2 linked regions of the Mus musculus genome follow. The protein of the gene in region 1 interacts with the protein of each later gene in a pairwise test. Links are inferred from orthologs where the notes say so. Each region holds a gene or a part of one and is shown on either strand. Other genes may lie near its edges.

Region 1 (5,651 bases):
GAAAAAAAAACGGTAATTGTATTTGATAGGATGCCAAGTGAATGAGAAAGGAAAGCCAGCCCCAGCTGACCTTTTCCACACCCTAGAGTTTTCACACAGTTATACTAGATAAAGAACAGAGCCAGGACAACCATAGAAACCAAGAGAGCTGGTAACAGGAAAGCTTCCCCTCCTGCCTTTTTCCTTCATAATGTCATCTGAACTTTGTGTGCTCATTCCCCAGCTCTGTGCATGGCTAGTATGCCCTCAGCCTTTAAATCTCAAAGGGCCACCCCTGATCAGTCTAACCTCCTGGCTTTCTCTACTGCATCACTCTGTTTGCTTGCATTGAATGCAATGATGACATTTACGATGACTTTGTATATTAGCTTCAGACAGTTTCAGAGAGTAAGAGCCATTTCCATCTTTTGTAGTGTGTGATGATTCAAGTTGGAGTTTTTCAACTTTGCCTTACTGCCAAACCCATCAGCTCTTAGTAAAAACCATACACCAATTTTGGATTCTGACCTTTTGCTTGGCTAACAATGTGCTCTCCATACTCAACAAGCCACATGCCCTTCAGCAGCTGCAGCATCAGTACACACCACATCCACTACAGTGTGCTGGGCTGCTGGGCTGCTGGGCTGTAAAATGCAAAGTGTTAAAAATATCAAAAGCATTTTTACTTAATGATATTTTCAATTTAATCTGGGTTTACTAGATGTAACTACAAGATGGGAGCATCTATATGCCCAAAATCTAGCACATAAAAAGCACACAATGAATATTTGTGGAATAAAACACTCATTAGTTAAGTCTAGTGTGATAATCGGACTCTCCACCCAATTAGAAGCTCATGGAAAGCCAGGTGAGTTTCTGAGGTTTTGTTGAATTGATTCGTCCTTGTTGGCTGCTTTGTGTAACCACTCTTCACCTGTGCATTGAAGAAATTCCTTGCGTATTATCTACATATCTTTTTTAGATAGGTAGCCCTCTGTTTCTCAGTAATTTTTGTTATTCTTCTAGACTCTTACCTTGGGACTCTCTTTCTCCATGTTACTAAGAGCCAAGATTCTATTTAAATAAAGGAAGGGTGGTGGAACTAAGAGAGAAAGGACATTTCACCTTTCCTCCCTCTACTTCATTCTCAACCAGAGACAGATTTAGATGAACTTCTTCTGATGAACCATTTAGAAAAGTTGATTGCTTTACAACCATGGAGGCAGCCTCGAAACTTTGCTTTCCTCAGCTTTGAACAGGGTCAGAAACTCATATCCTAGTTGGGCCATGCAGAGCCCTGGTCACAAATTTTAAAAACTGACGCATAGGAGCAAAATATGTTAAATACTGAATTGTAGAACATGAGGTAAAAGAAGTAATGTCAACAGTCTGTGTTGATATGACTGCTTGATTTTGTTCTTGTATCTCATTTTATTTTCATTTTGCTATTTATTAAAAGAAGAAACTCTTTGATTTGTATTAGGTGTCATCTAAAAATGCCTCCTTCCCAAGTTGTTTCATACAAATAAGTTACCTTTACCTTCATAGACTAGACAGACATTAGCACTAATTCTATTACCTACCACCTTCATCTGATGAATGTGTTGGATGCAGGTCTGAGAATGCTTCACCTTGCCCAAGGTGCCTGATTAATAAGTGATGAGGCAGAAACAGGACAGAGAAACAGTACCCTGTGATTGACAGGCCAGCATGTCTTGGTCCTTGCACAGAAGTGCTTCTCCAGCTTGCATCTTCTTATTAATTCCTCCCAAGTCATACACATGCTTTTACTCTTTATTATACCAACTTAAAATTTTACTGTGCATTTGTTGTGCTGAACTTAGAAATTCCATGGAAATTCATATTTCTCTCTTCAGCCCTAGGCTTTTCATCACCCTTTTTCTCCTAGGATCTCTTTTGAATCAGATCATTTGCTTTAGGTCCCTGATACAGGGGGTCTCATTGGGAGCCTCACTCTGGAGTGGGGACTAGCTGTGTGGGAACCCAAGAGGACCACATTGAGAACCGCTGAGTCTTTCTTAAGTGTTTTTCTGTGCCCCAGGTCCAGGGAAAGAGTTGAACTAATTGATAGGATCATCTTCATCTTGAAATATAATTCTTTTAAAATTGATTAGTATCAGTCAGATGTTGGTTTTTCATAAGAAAATATTCTCATACACTGTCAAAAACAAGTTCAAACAAAAAAGTTTCAGTCAAGAATTAAAGAAATGGATGTGTTTTTTCTGAAAGACCAGAAACCTATAGCCTGTTCCTTTGAGTGTTTCTGCCCATTTATTACACCAACCAAACACTAGACAAATCTTTCCAAATTCCTACTTTATCTAAGTGTATCCTTCTCCAATTCAAGAAAACATCTCTACTTGTGTTGGTTCAGTGCTCCAAATTAACAAACACACACAAACAAACAAACACACAAACAAAACCTTGAATGTTCTTTGAATTCAAATTATCATAAAGAAGTTAAAAGACACAGCTGTGTGTATAGAAAGTGGAGATTTAAATTTTAGCTTTCTTAATGTTCTCCTGATACCTGTTTAATTGGAAATGATCTGAATTCTAGAAATTAAAACTCATGGAATTTATACACTGATGAGACAACTCAATGGCTGAGAACTCTGGTTGCTTTTGCAGAGGACCCAAGTTCATCAGCACCCACAGTGTTAAACTCCAGTTCCAGGAAATCTAATGCCCTCTTCTGGCCTCCACAGGAATTGTATACAAATAGTGCATTTATGTACATGCAGGCAAACCACTAACACATAAAATGAAATAAATCAAGAGGGGGGATTTCAAAGCTTCTGGAACTTTTATATTGTTCATTTTTTATAAAGTCATATTCTTGCACCACTGCCATTTATCACATTCAACATTCAATATGCAATGAAGATTAAATAGGTTGAAAATGGCCATGAGAATGCTAACAACCCAGGAAGGAGAAACAGCAGACACACAGTGACTGCCGACAGCCACCTGAGACACAGCAGGGATTGAAAAGCAGAGGCAAGGGCTGCAGGAGTGCAGGGGTGCAGGACTACTGGGATATTGTAATGGGGTAGAACAAAGATCCTACTGGTCAGCAATGCCCTTCCTACTTGGAACTCATGGGAGTTCGGCCTCTAGAATTCTCACATCCAATATCTATGACTGAGCCACACTGCCTGTGGAGGGCGCAGCATAATTCAATGCCGTGTTGAAATGAGTTCTGTTCCATCTCAATTAGATTGGAAATTCCCAGAGGACCATGTTGTATCTTTCTGGGAAACCTCCACAGTTCTTTGCACAGTGCCAGGCATACAAATTGCATCCAAAAACACATCTAATGAATAAATGGGCTCATATAAATTAGAAAAATAATTAGTGCTCAATTACAGACACAGAGGTTATTTTGCAATGCCCCGTGGTGAATTAAAGTCTAGGGCCGCATCTTTGAGTCTGAGCCAAATAAGATATTGCCATCTTGGTTAACCGTTATTTAAATGTTTACTTTCCTTGTCCTGTATTATTATATCTCTCAGGATTCTTTTGTTCATCCAGCTAATGAAATGAGGATTGGGGAACTTCACCCTTCATTAGCTGAGACCCCTCTGTACCCACCCAAACTTGTTCTGCTAGGGAAGGACAAAAAAGGTAACATCGTGAAGCCGATGTGGAACTGTGCCCGATGCATGTGCATGATAAATCGCCACTTATACATTATGACATGCCATAGTCTATAAGTACTCGCACACGTGTGCTTCTGACATTAATCCATATGGAATCTGCTTTTCATACATCTTTTGTATCCGTCAGTGTTCGTAGCATTGTAACATGTTTCCCCTTTAAATTTCAGAATCAACTGATGAGTCTGAAGTTGACAAAACTCACTGTCTGAATAACAGTGTCTCCTCAGGCACCTACTCAGACTACTCGCCCTCCCAAGCTTCCTCGGCATCCTCTAACACCCGGATGAAAGTGGGGTCCTTGCAGGCAACAGCTAAAGATGCCGTCCATAACTCTTTGTGGGGTAACAGGTGTGTTGAGAATTTCCCCTTCTGGGTTCCCAAATGTTCGTTGTCAGCAATTTTGACAAAGTGGAATCTGCTTTATGTTGGAATTGTGTTTGGCATGTGAGTTGCACAGAACACAGAATATGCAGGTAAGCATGTGGGCTCACCTGGGACTTTGGAGGGCATCAAAACCAACTTCCAGGGCCTGGCATCCATGCAAGGCCAGTGGGAAGAGGCTATGGGAAGTCACAGTGGGAACTAAAAGCTTGAAAGTGAAAATTTGTGTTTGACCATCCCTAATATATATATATATATATATATAATTATAAGTATGTATAACTCAGCATTATTAGCAAATGAATTCACATACTCTGGAAAAACAGGCATGCTGGAAGTGGCCACTGGCTCAAATGTGCTACTAGCCCCAAGCATAGTACAGTCAATATGATAGACAATCCCTTGATATAGGCCAATAGAATTCTATAGGCCAATAGAAGACTATGAAATCGTGAGAAGAAGGAAGAGATCTTAAGGGAGGAGGAAAGAGAAAGCAACAGCACACGTGACAAGAAGTGAAAGGGAACACTTAGGGAAGAAGAGTAAAGGAGAGGACCGAATTAGAACAAAGTCTAATAGCACCCAAATCTGAAGATGCTTTTTATGCTATTTTTTAATTAATTATTTATCTACATTCCAGATGTTGCCCCCTCCCACAATTCTTCTTCCCACTCGCCCTCCCCTCTGCCTCTGAGAAGGTGCACCACTCTCTACCCAGGAATTCCCCTTCTCTGAGGCCTCAAGTCTCTGCAGGATTAGACACATCCTCTCCACCTGAAGCCAGACAAAGCAGTCTTCTGCTACATATATGCCAGAGGCCTCGGACCAGCCTGTGTATGCTCTTTGGTTGGTGGCTTAGTCTCTGGGAGATCCCAGGTGTCTGGGTTAGTTGAGATTGTTAGTCTTCCTATGGGGTTGCCACCCCCTTCAGCTCCTTCAATTCCTCCCCTAACTCTTCCATAGAGGTCCCTAACCTCAATCTAATGGTTAGCTATAAGTGTCTGCATCTGTCTCAGTCAGCTGCTAGTAGGGCCTCTCAGAGGACAGCCATGATAAGCTCCTATCTGTAAGCACAACATACCATCAGTAATAGTTAGGCTTTGGTGTCCCTGCTCCCCCCACCCCACCCCCCATGCGATGGATCCCAAATTGGGCTGTTCACTGAACAGGCTTTCCATCAGTCTCTGCTCCAATTTTGTCCCTATATTTCTTTTAGACAGGAATAATTCTAGGTCAGTAACCCCATCAGTCCACTTGGGGCCCTGACTATCTACTGGAGATGATCTCTTCAGGTTCCCTCTCCCAACAGTTGGGTATTTTGGCTAAGGTCATCCCCATTGAGCCCTGGGAATCTCTCATGTCCAGGTCTCTGGGACTTTCTAGAGGGTCTCCCAGCCCCCACAAATTAATGAAATAAATAAAATAAAACTGGAGACTTGATCTTATCTGAAGACAGCTTGTACTGATTAGAAATGCCAGCATTTTTAAATTCTTTCATTTGGTGGCTTAGAAGTGTTGTGAGTCAGAAATTCTAGAGAAAAGCAGGGGAAATCCCCTTGCCAGTCACTCTTCAGAACCATGGTTGAAAGAGTACATTCTTCATTCAAT
Region 2 (5,651 bases), on another chromosome or scaffold:
TAACAAACAAATAACAAAACTCAAACAGCAGTTAATTTCCAAAATACTTTCACTTTCTTTGTATTTTTGTAGACTAAAGCCTTTGGTTTTCTTGCCAGATGGTCTCAGTGGTGCTGGACCAATTACTACTGTACTAGATAAAGAGGCTCTGGTGTAATCCAAGTGGAGTAATACTTGAAGGGCAAGACTGTTGGCCTAGCACACTCATCAGTGGGAAGGTCTCATGTAACAAGATGGGTTTCTCCAAGGATGCTATACCACCTCCATCATGGAATTGCTCACAAACCACCTAATTCCTAATCCCTGTGTTTCACCATCTTCTGGGGCTTGTGTTCTCCACTTAGAGACTTTTGCCAGCATCTCTGTACTTTGGAGACTGGAGCTGCTAGGATTTTCTACCACACTCCCCCTACTTTCTGACATTAACAATGCTTCCTTCTTTGTTACTCACCTCTGCTCAGAGTGGCTCAAGGAACTGAATTCCACAGAGACAAGGATTTTGCAAGGTCACTAAGGCCCTGTGTTCCTAAGGGAATGGTGCCTAATAACATAACCATGGGTGAGGCCATTTCCTTCTCTTTGTAGAGAAGCAATTCCCACTGCCCTGGTTTATAATATAGAAAACTATGCTACAAAAGTAGAAATTTTAGAGAAACATTAAAGAACTGAAAAATGAATGAATGACCAGGTAGAACTAATACAGTGCAACAAGCTGACTTTTGAAATATCTGAACTAGTTGTATTAAACTGAAGACACTCATTGGTGGGCACTGTTAAATACATCTCAGGATACAACACCACCTTCTCTTTGCACATGCTGTAGGTCTCTCACTGTGTTGCTTGTCAGCTGTACTCAGAGCACAAAATGTTACTCTTGGAAGTACCAAGGGGGTGTGCAGTGGATGGGTTCTTCCTTCCAGATGCTCTTCAGCCGCTGGGCCCATGATGCCAGCATCACTTTCCTTTCTTCTTCTGATGAAACATCAAGACCAAAACTGATCTGGGGGGCAAGGACTTTAAATCCACAGAAGTGCAGTGTACCATGCTGAAGCCAGAAAGAAAAGAAATAATCATAACCACACTCTTTATGTACATTCAGTTAAACTAGTAGAGGGGGAAATTGTGTGATTAAGCTTTAAAAATTATGAAACAATGCTACAAAGTAGTTGATAACAACCCTCTTCTGGATAGCTGCAGGATAGAGTGCTTCATTAGCAGAAGAACCTGGCAGCTGGAATTTACAGACAGATCTCTACTAATGAATCCACCACTAAGCAGAGTTTTGATGGATTTGGCAAACTATGATATTTTTCCAAATATGCTATTTGCAAATATATTTGTCAAAATATGTTATTATATATTCAGTGCTAAGCACAGAGAGGTTATTTTAGCTATGATGTGCTGCTGTTGACCATACTGGTTAAATCAAAACAAATTTTATGCAATATTTGTTGTATACTACTTATGTAGAATAATAATAAATAAGGCTCTATCTAGGCCATTAGGAAATAAATTACAAGTAATTCTAGAAGTGTAGATTAAGTGGACTTTTAATTTTTTAAATTATGTTTACCGTTACTTTTACTTTATGTTATTATAAACTGGGGTAAAATACATGTTTTTAAAACAAGATTTAAGATTAGTCAAGGACATATGTGAGAATGGCTAGCCTTCAGAGAGGGAAGCTCACAGATTGTAATTGACCTTAATGGAGTACCACTAATCCACTAACTGGAATCATCTTTCAAAACAAGCCTACTTTCTCCCTAGAAATATCACACTTGGTCTTTTGCACTATGCTTTTAAAAACTCACATGCGCCGGGTGTGGTGGCACACGCCTTTAATCCCAGCCCTCGGGAGGCAGAGGCAGGCGGATTTCTGAGTTTGAGGCCACCCTGGTCTACAAAGTGAGTTCCAGGACAGCCAGGACTATACAGAGAAATCCTGTCTTGAAAAAACAAACAAACAAAAACAAACAAACAAACAAACAAACAAAAAACCCAACTCACATGCTCATCCAAGCCTTCCCTATCAGGTGGAGTTAGAGGACAAAAAGCCCACATATATGTTTTTATATTACTTTCCCTCAGATGTTATGATTTATTGAAAATCAGTTCTTAAAAATCCATTACTGGGGACTGGAGAAATGGTTCAGCAGTTAAGAGTCCTCAGTGGGTGTCTCTTGTGAGACTATCCCGGGGCCTAGCAAACACAGAAGTGGATGCTCACAGTCAGCTATTGGATGGAACACAGGGCCCCTAATGGAGGAGTACCCAAGGAGCTAAAGGGGTCTACAACCCTATAGGTGGAACAACAATATGAACTAACCAGTACCCCCTGGAGCTGTGTCTCTAGCTGCATATGTATCAGAAGATGGCCTAGTCGGCCATCACTGGGAAGAGTGGCCCATTGGTCTCAAAAACTTTATCTGCCTCAGTACAGGGGAACACCAGGGCCAAGAAGTGGGAGTGGGTGGGTAGGGGAGTGGGGGGGGGAGGGTATGGGGGACTTTTGGGATAGCATTGAAAATGTAAATGAAGAAAATACCTAATAAATTAAAAAAAAAGAGACTCCTCAGTGGGTATGGCAGCATTGATCCGTAACCCCAGTATATGTCGGGAGAAGAGCAAAGGCAGGCAGATCCTGGGACTCACTAGCCATGCAGTCAAGCCAAATCAGCAAGCACCATGGTCAATGAGAGATGTAATCTCAAAAAATAAGGTAGAAAGTGATCAAGGAATTTATTTGAAACTGACCTCTAGCATTCACACATGCATGTATGGGCAAGTGCATACACACACACACACACACACACACACACACACACACACACACACACACACTTCCATAACACAAACATGAGAACAAACAACAAAGGCAAGGAATGAACTTAAATACATACTATCTATATAAAGAAAACTCTTACTGCTCAGTCAGGCCTCAAGCTTGTGTAGCTGAGGATAACTCTGAACTTCTGAGCCTCCTGCCTCCACCTCCCAAGTGATGATTATGGGCATGCACTACCACAACTAGCTTAGAGGAAGCTGGAGCTCAAATTCTACTAGGCATGGTATACACTCAGCACTCGCTCCACCACAGACGCATACCTGCAGCTTCTGTCCACGATGTCTACGTTGACAAAAGCAATCTCTCTAACTATTAAGTACAAGCTTTCCTCATAAGTGTAGTACATCCATTTAGGTTTCAAGGACTCCTAAGAGTCTTTGCCCTGAAGTCTGCCCTTTGTTCTCTGTCCTTCATCAGGAAGTTCCATGCACATGGGCATCTTAGCCTGCTGGAACTCACTCTTTCATCACCTTTCTCTTCTATAAAGGGCTATTCAGCTACTCATCTATCTAGGTTGTTCAGAGGCTCAGGTGAAGCTATCCATATCACAGGGTCTATGGTACCCCTCACCAAGGCTAAGGAGTGTTGCTAGCTTTGTAGATCATTGTAAGTCTGGAAAGGGCTCTCTAGGCCTTGCTGTTGCTCATCACTCATACCCATACACCTGGTCCCACCTCAGGGCCATCACAATCCCCAGAAAACAGACAGCAGGCTAACTAGGTTTGGCTTAACTTTGAGTCAAACATTATCAAAAGTTGTATGTTCTCCCTCTTAGCCAGCCTTTAAACTGCTATCAATTTAAAAAATAAAATAAGGATAAAATGTTATTATTTTCTCTATCTAGTTGGGAGTCAAAATGATACGGAGTGTCAAGCTTATAAGACATATGTGCATGTATGTGTATGTAGGGTGCAGGGTGAGGAATTGTCCAGTGGGCCAGCAAAGTAGAGAAGGCATGTTTACCTGAAGTGGCCACAGGAAGTACCGGAAATCTCCACTGACCCCATCTTTTGTGTACATCTCCGCTGTACCTCCCGTGGTTAAGGAAAGGAGAGCTAATTTACCCTACAAGCAGGGGAGAAAGTAAATGCATAATGTGACTACAAGAAGAGGAAACTGTGCTCCTATGGTGCAGTACAGAGGTTTATGATGGCCAGAAGGGAGTCTGGGGTCAGGTTTTTTCCAGGGTAGACAGACGTAATCCTCCCATGTCCCATGGGCCTATTTAAAGATGATAACTAATGCCCTAACAGGGATGGGGACAGAGCAGGCAGCAAAGGGACAAGTGAACATCAAACTTCTAACATACAGGACTTCTCAGGGAACTAGGTTTCAGAGACACAATGAGACAGACCTGAGATACTGACCACAGGGCTAATGGAAAGGTGATAGTGCTTACACAGGATGATTGTGCCATGAAGGTCAGCATCTTGGTTACCTGGTTCATTTTCATCATATACATTTAATTTCTGAAATTTTTAGAATTTAAAGCCATTTGCTTAGCAGAACATTCTCTCAATAAGATACAGATATTATTCATGATACCTACCAGGTTTCACACCCTTTCCTACAATATAGGAACTGTGTGATTACCAGCCCCCCAGGGTAAGCATATGGACCCAAAGGTGTCAACTGGTATACAAGACCAGCCAGACTGTCACAGAGTTGGTACTCTGGCACTGGGGCTGATAAAGGTACTGTCCATGTCATTTGCCCTTGCTGAGTACTCTGCCCATACTTTCTTTGCCTTGTGTGTAGATTAGTGTGGATGGATAACCCCCCACTATCAAAAAGCTCTGTGAATTAAAAAAGGATGTACTTGTCATCCATAAGGTGTGTTGTGCAGAATTAACTGCTTAATGAATATTTACATATCTAATGCAAAAATTCAAATTAGAAATATAAATTAATAGATGTCCTCAATTTCCTTCCATTGGACAGATCTGTAGTGATCCTTATCTCCAGAGAACATACCTTGAGAAAACCAGAGTCATAAAAGCCTGGGATATCAAAGGCAAACCCTCGGCACAGCACCCTATCCATCCAACCTTTTAGGATTGCTGGAACGCTGAACCAGTATAGTGGAAACTGGAGATGGAACAAGCAGAGACAAATTATGCCCTATCAGGATTCATACTTTAGTTCCACTGATCTCTCCTCCGATAGCACCCAGTAGGCAAAGGTAGCCTACAGGATCAGCCTAGTGGGGACACAACATGGGCACAGTGGGGAGAAGGGTAGAGATGACTATGGTACTGAGGAAGTGTGCTGGATAGCTTTATGTCAGTTTGACAAAAGTTAAAGACATCTGAGAGGAGGGAGCCCAATCAAAAACATGCTTCCATAAGATGAGGTTGTAGGCAAGTCTGTAGGCATTTTCTTAATGAGTGATCAAAGTTCTGACTATTGTGGGTGGTACCATCCTTGCGCTGGTGATTCTGAGTTGTATAAGAAAGCAGGCTGAGCAAGCCACATGGAGCAAACCAGTTAGCAGCAGCACTCCTTTGTGACCTCTGAACTAACTCCTGCCTCTATATTCTCTCCCTGTTTGAGTTCCTGTCCTGACTTCTTCAGTGATAGTCTATGGATGTGGAAGTGTAAGCCAAATCAGCCCTTTCCCCCCTCAATTTGCTTTTGGTTATGGTGTTTTGTCACAGCAATAGTAACCCAAACTAAGATAGGAGGTAAAAACAGAGACTGTGGGTCGTTGAAGTCCTTGTGTGATGGAAATCTGGGGAGAGCAAAGCTCTCCAGAAGTGCTGCCATGGCCATTCTCGTCCAAAGGACTCAGGTTGAGCAGAAC

Evidence for each region. The genes of interacting proteins can lie anywhere in the genome.
Region 2: the proteins of Lrrc7 (region 1) and Nqo2 interact in a two-hybrid assay, tested with the Homo sapiens proteins (2 studies listed by BioGRID). The two-hybrid records come from large-scale screens. The link is inferred for Mus musculus from reciprocal best matches to the Homo sapiens genes LRRC7 and NQO2.

Annotation. Positions count from the first base shown.
Region 1 is NC_000069.6:158,162,251-158,167,901, reverse strand, and holds part of Lrrc7 (leucine-rich repeat-containing protein 7), read left to right. Parts: intron 1-3,515; coding exon 3,516-3,627; intron 3,628-3,829; coding exon 3,830-4,010; intron 4,011-5,651.
Region 2 is NC_000079.6:33,980,710-33,986,360, reverse strand, and holds part of Nqo2 (ribosyldihydronicotinamide dehydrogenase [quinone]), read right to left. Parts: intron 4,937-5,651; coding exon 4,823-4,936; intron 3,914-4,822; coding exon 3,812-3,913; intron 1,046-3,811; coding exon 869-1,045; 3' UTR 1-868. UniProt on the Homo sapiens protein: The enzyme apparently serves as a quinone reductase in connection with conjugation reactions of hydroquinones involved in detoxification pathways as well as in biosynthetic processes such as the vitamin K-dependent gamma-carboxylation of glutamate residues in prothrombin synthesis.